2 linked regions of the Bombyx mori genome follow. The protein of the gene in region 1 purifies or fractionates together with the protein of each later gene. This does not show direct contact. Links are inferred from orthologs where the notes say so. Each region holds a gene or a part of one and is shown in the gene's direction. Other genes may lie near its edges.

Region 1 (4,088 bases):
ACTAGGTGGGCTGTGAGCTCGTCCACACATCTAAGCGAAAAAAAACATACTTATTCTTAAACTACATAGTAATCATTAATATCACAAATCATCGCAAATCCCAACAAAGAGACTTTTAAGACAGAACAATAAAGCACTTTCTTATTGTTAACAGTTACGTATCAGACAACAATTACCAACAATACGGATATAATCAAATCGCAGCGCTTCACAATCCCAATAACAATATCCCAACACTAACGAATTCATAACGCGTCCCACAACCGGTAATTTAAGTAAATTTATTTACCTCAAAATTACTTTTCCTGTATCCTCCGCGTGTGAATAATGCACCCGATAATTACACGTTTGAGTCATGTCTGTTGACCACAGAAACCGTTTGCCAACTAACTGAATTATTGATACCACATTGATAATATGTTCGATAAGATTTTAATAATAGAGATGTCGGCAAATTTTTATTATAATTTTTTTTATCTAAATTTATTTGGGAATATTATTCATAAGTCGCGATTAGATTTCAACGTTTTTTTTTTTTTTTTATTGCCCTTATAGGCAGACGAGCACTTGGCCCACCTGATGGTGAGTGGTTACCGTCGCCCATGGACTTCAGCAATGCCAGGGGCAGAGCTAAGACGCTGCTTACCGTTAAATACTCTCCACAAACCTCGTTTGAAGAAGGACATTTCATAGCACTCGGGAAACACCGTGGAGGGGAGCTCATTCCAAATCTGGATGGTACGTGGCAAAAGAGATCTCTGAAAACGCACTGTGGATGAACTCAATGGCTCCAAGTAGAATGGATGAGCTCTACTCCGGTGGCGGGCGATGCGATGGTAAAAACGAGGTGATGGTATCATCTCCAACATTTCCTCAGACCACTCCCATACTATATAACCTCATATATAACTTCGAACAACAAAGGTGGCTTTGCTTTGCAAGGGTAAATCACTCCAAAAATAAAAACGCACAAAAATTATCTCGATTTAATGTTTTCTTTATTTTGTCGAAATAAAGTAAACACAAATATGGCATTGAAGCTGTGACATATACAGACGGTAGTCATCTAACATCAGAGGGGCCATGAGCTGATCTGATATAATTCTAGGAATCACGAAATATTATAATTATTCATTGAGCGCGCAAAGTGTTCACATATCTGCTTTATAGCTACAATCGCGCAGCAGACTTCTATTAAATTTAATTGGCTATTTGAAACTGTAACAAAGCTAGTTTCGTAAGAACGATTTTTACAATGAAAATCAACTTGCCTTTGTTTAATACTTATTACGTTCGAGTGAGGCCAGTCGTACGCGACGTGTTGTATCTGTCTAATGGAGTGAGTGCTCTACTATAAAACATTGTACATTTTGGCCTAGTATAAGTAACTATAAGTGAAAACATTAAGAATTAACTGAATCTCGTAATCAGCCTTTTTTTTTTCTACCTAAGCTGGTAGCCTTGAGAGGCTATTCCAGCGTAATCCTAACTAGTAGGTGAGCTCACGGGGCTCAAACTTGATGACGTTGCTAACACGAACCCTAGCAAGAGCCGTGCTTCGCAGAATCTACCACCGGATTGGAAACGCGACCCACTGAGAAGATCCGGCGAGAAACTCAGTGGGCTGTGTCTGAGAGTTTACTCGTCGAGCCCTTCGTCGCAAGCGACGGTTTCGGCGAGAACGGTGACCGGTGCTTGAAGTCCCTAGAAGCACCGTTAGTGGATCGGGAGGATCCGAGATGACGTGTTTTGGGCGACGTCGACTGCTTTCCATTCTGTCCGCAGGATCGGGAATGTAGTTTCCGGCGACCACGATGAGAGGGTTCTCGTGTCGGGCCGCTTTATCGAAGTGGCGGAATCAGCCAATGAGCTATCGTACGCTGTACATTGTTGATTCGTCAATTAAGAACCTAAATATTAAGTTATGTTATATCAACCTTATCAGGGATCTCAAACACCTTGTAAATTAACGCAATTAACATTTTTAAATATTATACTCTAATACATAATCACGTTGTTATTTATTTTCTCACGTACTTGTATAGAACATGTACCGTACATACGATACGGTAAATGGCTCAAGACCAATCAAATGATCAATCATAATGAAAGGCAAAAAACAATTTGTAGTCTTTACTTTTGGTAGGACGTGTTGTGAGTCGGCACGGGTAGGTACCACCATCCTGCCTATTTCTGCCGTGAAGCAGTAATGCGTTTCGGTTTGATGGGTGGGGCAGCCGCTGTAACTATGCTGAGACCTTTGAACTCATATCTCAAGGTGGGTTTACGTTGTAGATGTCTATGGGCTCCGATAACCACTTAACACCAGGTGAGCTGTGAGATCGTGCACCATCTATGCAATAAATAAAAAGTCATCTATTTTAGATAGGTTTATCTATTTTAGTAACCAATCATAAATATCGATGCAATCGGACCTATTATCAACCGATTCGCTATTGCACATCACTATTCATGGTTCTTTATTTGAGTTCCTTTGTCACATTTCTCAGTTTTAATTGATTAAGTGTGCAATTAAATACATTGCACGTAAAATGCTTTATGTAGGTGATATGGTATGAAACTATGGAGATGAACATTACTTATTCGATAGGCGAGAGGTAGAATCGCTTGTATCCATTAACATTAATAGACAGGGTGGTGTCCAGCTGGAACCTAATTCGCAAACAATTGTATGTACATAAATAGGTTGAATTTCATTTAAAGTAAAATATATCACGATTCTAGACTTTATATGAACATGATATCGGAAAGTAATTAATTGTGAATACCGTAGAACCTGTTAAATAATTGTGTGTATAATGTAATATATAATTTGAAGTTTGTTAAGGCACAGTATATTAAGAAAAAGAAGAGCGTTATGTTTCGTTGGGAAACTACGCTGTAGATTGGCGAATGTTAATCGAATCTTATTTGTGAGACGCATGATCTGTTGTTAAAATCTTGAGCGAGTAAATTAGCCCACAGACCCAGCTCACTGAGTTTCTTGCCGGATCATCTCGGTGGTTCGCGTTTCCGATCCGGTGGTAGATTCTGTGAAGCACTGCACTTGCTAGGGTTAGTGTTAGCAACGTCGTCAGGTTTAAGTCCCGTGAGCTCACCTAGTTGCTAGGTTACGCTGACATAGGCTCTCAAGGGTATAAGATTCGGTAGAAAAAAATTTGTGGGCTATGATGCACCGGGCGTCATTGCCTTGTGAGGGCCCTATATACCAGCGGGGTACCCTAGGACTACAACAACAACAACAATGATGCACCTGGCGTCTTATCCTTTAAGCCACAACGATGTTGATTGCGCTACGCGTTTTAACAAAGCTAGATGGTGCTACCATCGGACGGTAATACAAACAATCAATACACAAAGTATACATCATTGATAAAAGGATTAATTTTTCCATTGATAAGAGTGCTTCCCAATAGTAAAAATTCACTAAGCCCGTTATTAGTGCCGAGACTTAGTTGTGTCCTTGAGTAAACTTTATTAATTTATAATTATAATTAAACTCACTTGCTGTCCTGTATGAGTTGGGACGTGTGCTGCGATATCACTCCAGAAAAGTTCAGAGCTTGACTGATACTCTGCCCTATTGCATCTTGTGAAGATAGAACCAGGTTTTCCACAGATTTTCGCCTGAATTACAACAAAAATAATTAATGAAGCTATTTTGGTTACTAAAACTCAGAGATATCATAACATGATTTACATGATGGCATACGTAGTGTAGTTTCAAAAAATATCCAATTTTAAATTATCATTATTAATAAATAAGTAAGTAAGGGAAACTACATAAATCATCACTTTCCTTTAATTAATATTTTCTTTTTGTCCTCAAGAACTTGGGATAGATAGCAATTTATAATTTTCTTCAAGGTGATGTTGATGATGAGTTTGCTTTACTTTTTCGATCGGTGAGTGATGACAATAATTATTGGTGCAATCATAGTCATGAGGTACATCATGAACACTATTTTATAATAACTATCATAAATTTCCCTCTATGTATGGCCAGCAATGGGAACACATCTGATCACATCTGCTATTGAAGAACATCATAGGGGCTACAGGTTCTC
Region 2 (4,106 bases), on another chromosome or scaffold:
TAATTGAAGATTTTCTAAATGATTTAAGTTTCTTAAAAAGAAAACAAATTTCTTTAATAAGGTTTTTCATTTATTTTAGCTTACATGACCTGCGAGTAAAACTGCTATGTTCTTACACATACTTTTAATTTCATCGTTACTCAAATATTCTGAGCCCAAAATCGCGTTTCCTAGAGCCAATGTCTCTCTCATAGTGTTTGCTTTGATCCAAATCCTTCCATTCATGCCAGCTGCTAATTCAAATGGCCATTCGTTCTTTAATGAGTTCAATAATGGACAATGTGGGTTTAATATTTTTCTGATTAAATTCAAAGAGCATTTGAATACGAATCCTTCTTCTAATACTCCTAGTCGGCCTTTTTTTCCATGCGAATCAACGCACACAAGCTCTGGTTCCATATCTTTGCTTGCGTTTAACATTTTCGCGTACACAACATCGCCTGTTTTGATTGCGGGACGGTTTTTCTTCGTCGCTCCTTCGAACGACAGATATGACAGCGATGCGGCACAACTCCCCCCGACGTCCACACGGAAAATATCGCCCGCTTTCTGTACCACGGTACCGATCACATTTTCACCTCTAGAAGGCACATAGCGCTTCTGATAATTGTCCACCCAGTATGTATTTGGTGTTCGTTTCCGTAATACGCCTGGTTTTGTTATAAAAACACCGTTAATTTCTTTGCGAAGTCCAGGACCTAGTAGAACTTTTCCTTTTTCGCCAGCCGCCACGATCTCTGGACAGTGATCTCCAGGTAAAACTACATCATCTATTGAAACGTTCATGATATTTTTGTTCTATTTTAGTGAGAATTATAAATGAACACACAAATAAATACAAAGCCCTAACCTCTAAAACAGCAATGTTTATTTGATTTGATTGGTCCATCCAATAGGCAAAGAAAACATAGCGCATAGGTACCTACCAGTTAAATCTTATGCATTTAATTGTTGTATGAAAAATGAAATTTAGGCGAAGGAAATAAAATTAAGTAATGATAACATTAAATGTGTTGAGCCGAAACCAGTACCCATGTATGTAATTCTGATATCCATTGAAATAATGCTGACTTTAGGTTCCATCACAGAATACCATAATATGTCTAGGAAAGCTGCGTAATCATAGTCAAATAAACTAACTTCACTTCATTTCATTCATCCACATCATTTTCTATAGAAATATACCACAATATTTAAAAGATAGTATATGGTCTGATACTTTTGCCTTTCTAGATGAAAAAATACAACTATTGCTATTACTTTGACACTTTTGACAGTTGACTAACTCGCAGTGCCTAGAGGTTTGCACATGTTCGCTGTTTACATATCACCGAAAAACTAATTCGGAGTATTAGTTATATTAAAATGCCCGCAGTAATTGAAAATGACGTAATAAAATACAAGGGCAGCAATTACTTTCGTCAAAGATTGCTACTTTCGACTCTCAGTGGGCGTGCTATTAAAATAGAAGACATTCGCAGTACCAACGATGACCCGGGTCTTCGGGAATATGAAGTCAGTTTAATTCGGCTACTGGATAAAGTGACGAACGGTACTAGAGTCGAGCTGAGCGAAACCGGTACTTCAGTATATTACCAGCCTGGTATACTGATTGGTGGACAAGTTAATCACAACTGTTGTACCCAGAGAGGGATAGGTAAGTGGTCTTCAATAAAGTTTCTACTCACGTCAAATACGTTATTAGGAATGTAGTTTTCTAAATTAGAAGATTATATATTAGTTTGATTACAGCTGGAAATTCAGACAATTCAGCATACACATTCTCCTGATAGCTAAAAGCATGGAGAGTCTAGTTCAGTGGAGCAAGGCATGGACATAATAAATATTGTTAATATATACTATAGGATGGGATAATAAATCTTTTGTCAGGCATGCAACCGTCTAGGAGAGTCCAGTTTAAATACTAAAATAAGTTTTGACAGAGTGAGGACGCCTTGGTTGTTTTTGAAAGTAGTTTTAGTGACATCAGCTTGACTGATGTAACTATCTAAACTAAATCAAACCATACCATGGTCTGAACATTAACTCAGCATTTAAATACTTCCTGTTATGTTCATCCTCGGACTGACAAATTGAAATTAAAAAATAACCTTTTTAGGTTATTATCTTGAAGTTCTACTAGCCCTGGGACCATTCTGTAAGGAACCTTTAAATGCAGTCCTACAAGGAGTAACCCACAGTGACCTAGATGTATCAGTGGACAAAATAAAGACGGCAGCGCTACCTGTGCTCCTTAAATTTATTCTTGTCGATGATGGCTTGGATCTGAAAATTGTGAGAAGAGGTTAGTTTTGATCAAAGTTATTTGTTAACAAGTAACATGACTTCCTCTAGAAACATTGCTATCCACCAGTGAGATTTGAAAATATAGTTTTAATGCAGTGCCCTAAAGTAACAATGAGTTCCTCAAAAAGTAAATTTGATTAGATAATCTCTTAAAAATGTCTATAATATTGAATTTTAATCATCAAAATTATTAAATTTTTCAAAAATAACTGACGTTAAAATTTTCATGAATCAAAAGTAAACAATGTGTTTTTTCATGTTGTTTATTAGGAGTTTAAAGGAATTAATTATGTTAATGTTTTGTGTGTCTCCACCTTAACTATCTGCTATTTTTTTAAATGACACATGACAAAATATGTATGTAAGTGGGTTAATAAAAAAATGAATTTTGCAGAAAACTGATAAAATTTGTATTTAGGTATTTTTTTTCTAAGCGGCCGTCGTTTTTGCATATTATACTGTGACATTGGCAAAATGCCTAAGGCGTTGGAGCCAATTTTGTTTATAAAAAAAAAGAAAGGCTAATATCTGATATTTCCTTTAAAGAAATTTACAATAACTTGTCACCTATATTACAGGAGCACCACCATTAGGGGGAGGCGAAGTTGTTTTTAAATGTCCAGTCAAACGTCATCTCCGACCTCTACAGTGGACCAAATGGGGTCTTGTGAAGAGAATAAGAGGAATAGTGTATGCTTTAAGGGTGTCTCCTACGATGGCTAACAGAGTTGTTGAAGCTGCTAAAGGGGTGAGAAAATAGTTTTTGTCCACTATAAAAGATCAAAGAAGATGAGCCTAACTAGTGTTTTTTTCTATTATATTATTTATCGGTTAATTAGTTTAAGTAGTATCAAGTGGTTAATGGACCTATATACCTAACAACTCTAATTTTGCCACACATACATAAGGGCTAGATTTCAATTAACTAATATCAGAACTATCGAACCTGTAAATGCATTACTGAGTGGTAGTAATAGGCAACGCATTAATAGGCAACGGGCCCGCTTACACACTACAATATTTTTAGATATAAGGATGAGACTATAAAGTAAGTTGATAACAAATTTTTTACGTGACAACGTCATATAATTCGATGGAGCCGGCTGCACGCACTAAAAACATGACTCATGCGGCGTTACCTCGCTCTGAGACGTTCCATTTAAGGCTTGAAGTGAAAGCGAGAGCGCGCAACGAGCGACAATATCTATCAAACAAATAAAATTAAAATTTTCTTTTGAAAAATGAAACCATTCCATCAGTATTTTCTTATGATGTTGTCACTCACATTCAACTATCATCAGTAAACCGATTTTACAGACAACCGATTTTTTTGAATAACATGTTACATTCATAGACTTTCATCAGTTGTAGGCCATTCTGTGATGTATTTTCTCCAATTATAATGAATTTACTAACTCATATTTAAGGAATTCATTATGTGTCTTCCTCTGCAATTCTATAAAGGGGTCACTACATTTAGAATCTTTATATTTCAGGTGATGCTTAATTTTCTACCGGATGTCTACATCAACACGGACCAGTGTCGAGGGTCGAACGCTGGCAAGAGTCCGGGTTTTGGAGTCAGTCTTGTTGCTGAAACCGATGAGAAAACCTTTTATTGTGCTGAAGCAGTAAGTGTCAAGTGTCAAGTTTTACTGGTGGTAGGACCTCTTGTGAGTCCGCGTAGGTAGGTACCACCGCCCTGCCTGTTTCTGCCGTGAAGCAGTAATGCGTTTCGGTCTGAAGGGTAGGCAGCTGTTGTAACTATACTGAGGTCTTAGAACTTATATCTCAAGGTG

What was found. Proteins that work in one complex are often made in the same cells at the same time.
Region 2: the proteins of ribosome biogenesis protein BMS1 homolog (region 1) and probable RNA 3'-terminal phosphate cyclase-like protein purify together in Homo sapiens (co-immunoprecipitation; 4 studies listed by BioGRID and IntAct, with this or other methods). This does not show direct contact. The link is inferred for Bombyx mori from reciprocal best matches to the Homo sapiens genes BMS1 and RCL1.

Annotation. Positions count from the first base shown.
Region 1 is NC_085129.1:15,212,262-15,216,349, reverse strand, and holds the start of ribosome biogenesis protein BMS1 homolog, read left to right. Parts: upstream 1-1,273; 5' UTR 1,274-1,339; intron 1,340-3,525; coding exon of another isoform or gene 3,526-3,648; intron 3,649-4,088. Other genes in the region: protein Aster-B, read right to left, coding at 3,526-3,648. UniProt on the Homo sapiens protein: GTPase required for the synthesis of 40S ribosomal subunits and for processing of pre-ribosomal RNA (pre-rRNA) at sites A0, A1, and A2.
Region 2 is NC_085114.1:14,714,232-14,718,337, reverse strand, and holds the start of probable RNA 3'-terminal phosphate cyclase-like protein, read left to right. Parts: upstream 1-1,244; 5' UTR 1,245-1,365; coding exon 1,366-1,657; intron 1,658-2,119; coding exon 2,120-2,305; intron 2,306-2,885; coding exon 2,886-3,055; intron 3,056-3,803; coding exon 3,804-3,938; intron 3,939-4,106. Other genes in the region: exosome complex exonuclease Rrp40, read right to left, coding at 76-786. UniProt on the Homo sapiens protein: As part of the small subunit (SSU) processome, it plays a role in 40S-ribosomal-subunit biogenesis in the early pre-rRNA processing steps at sites A0, A1 and A2 that are required for proper maturation of the 18S RNA.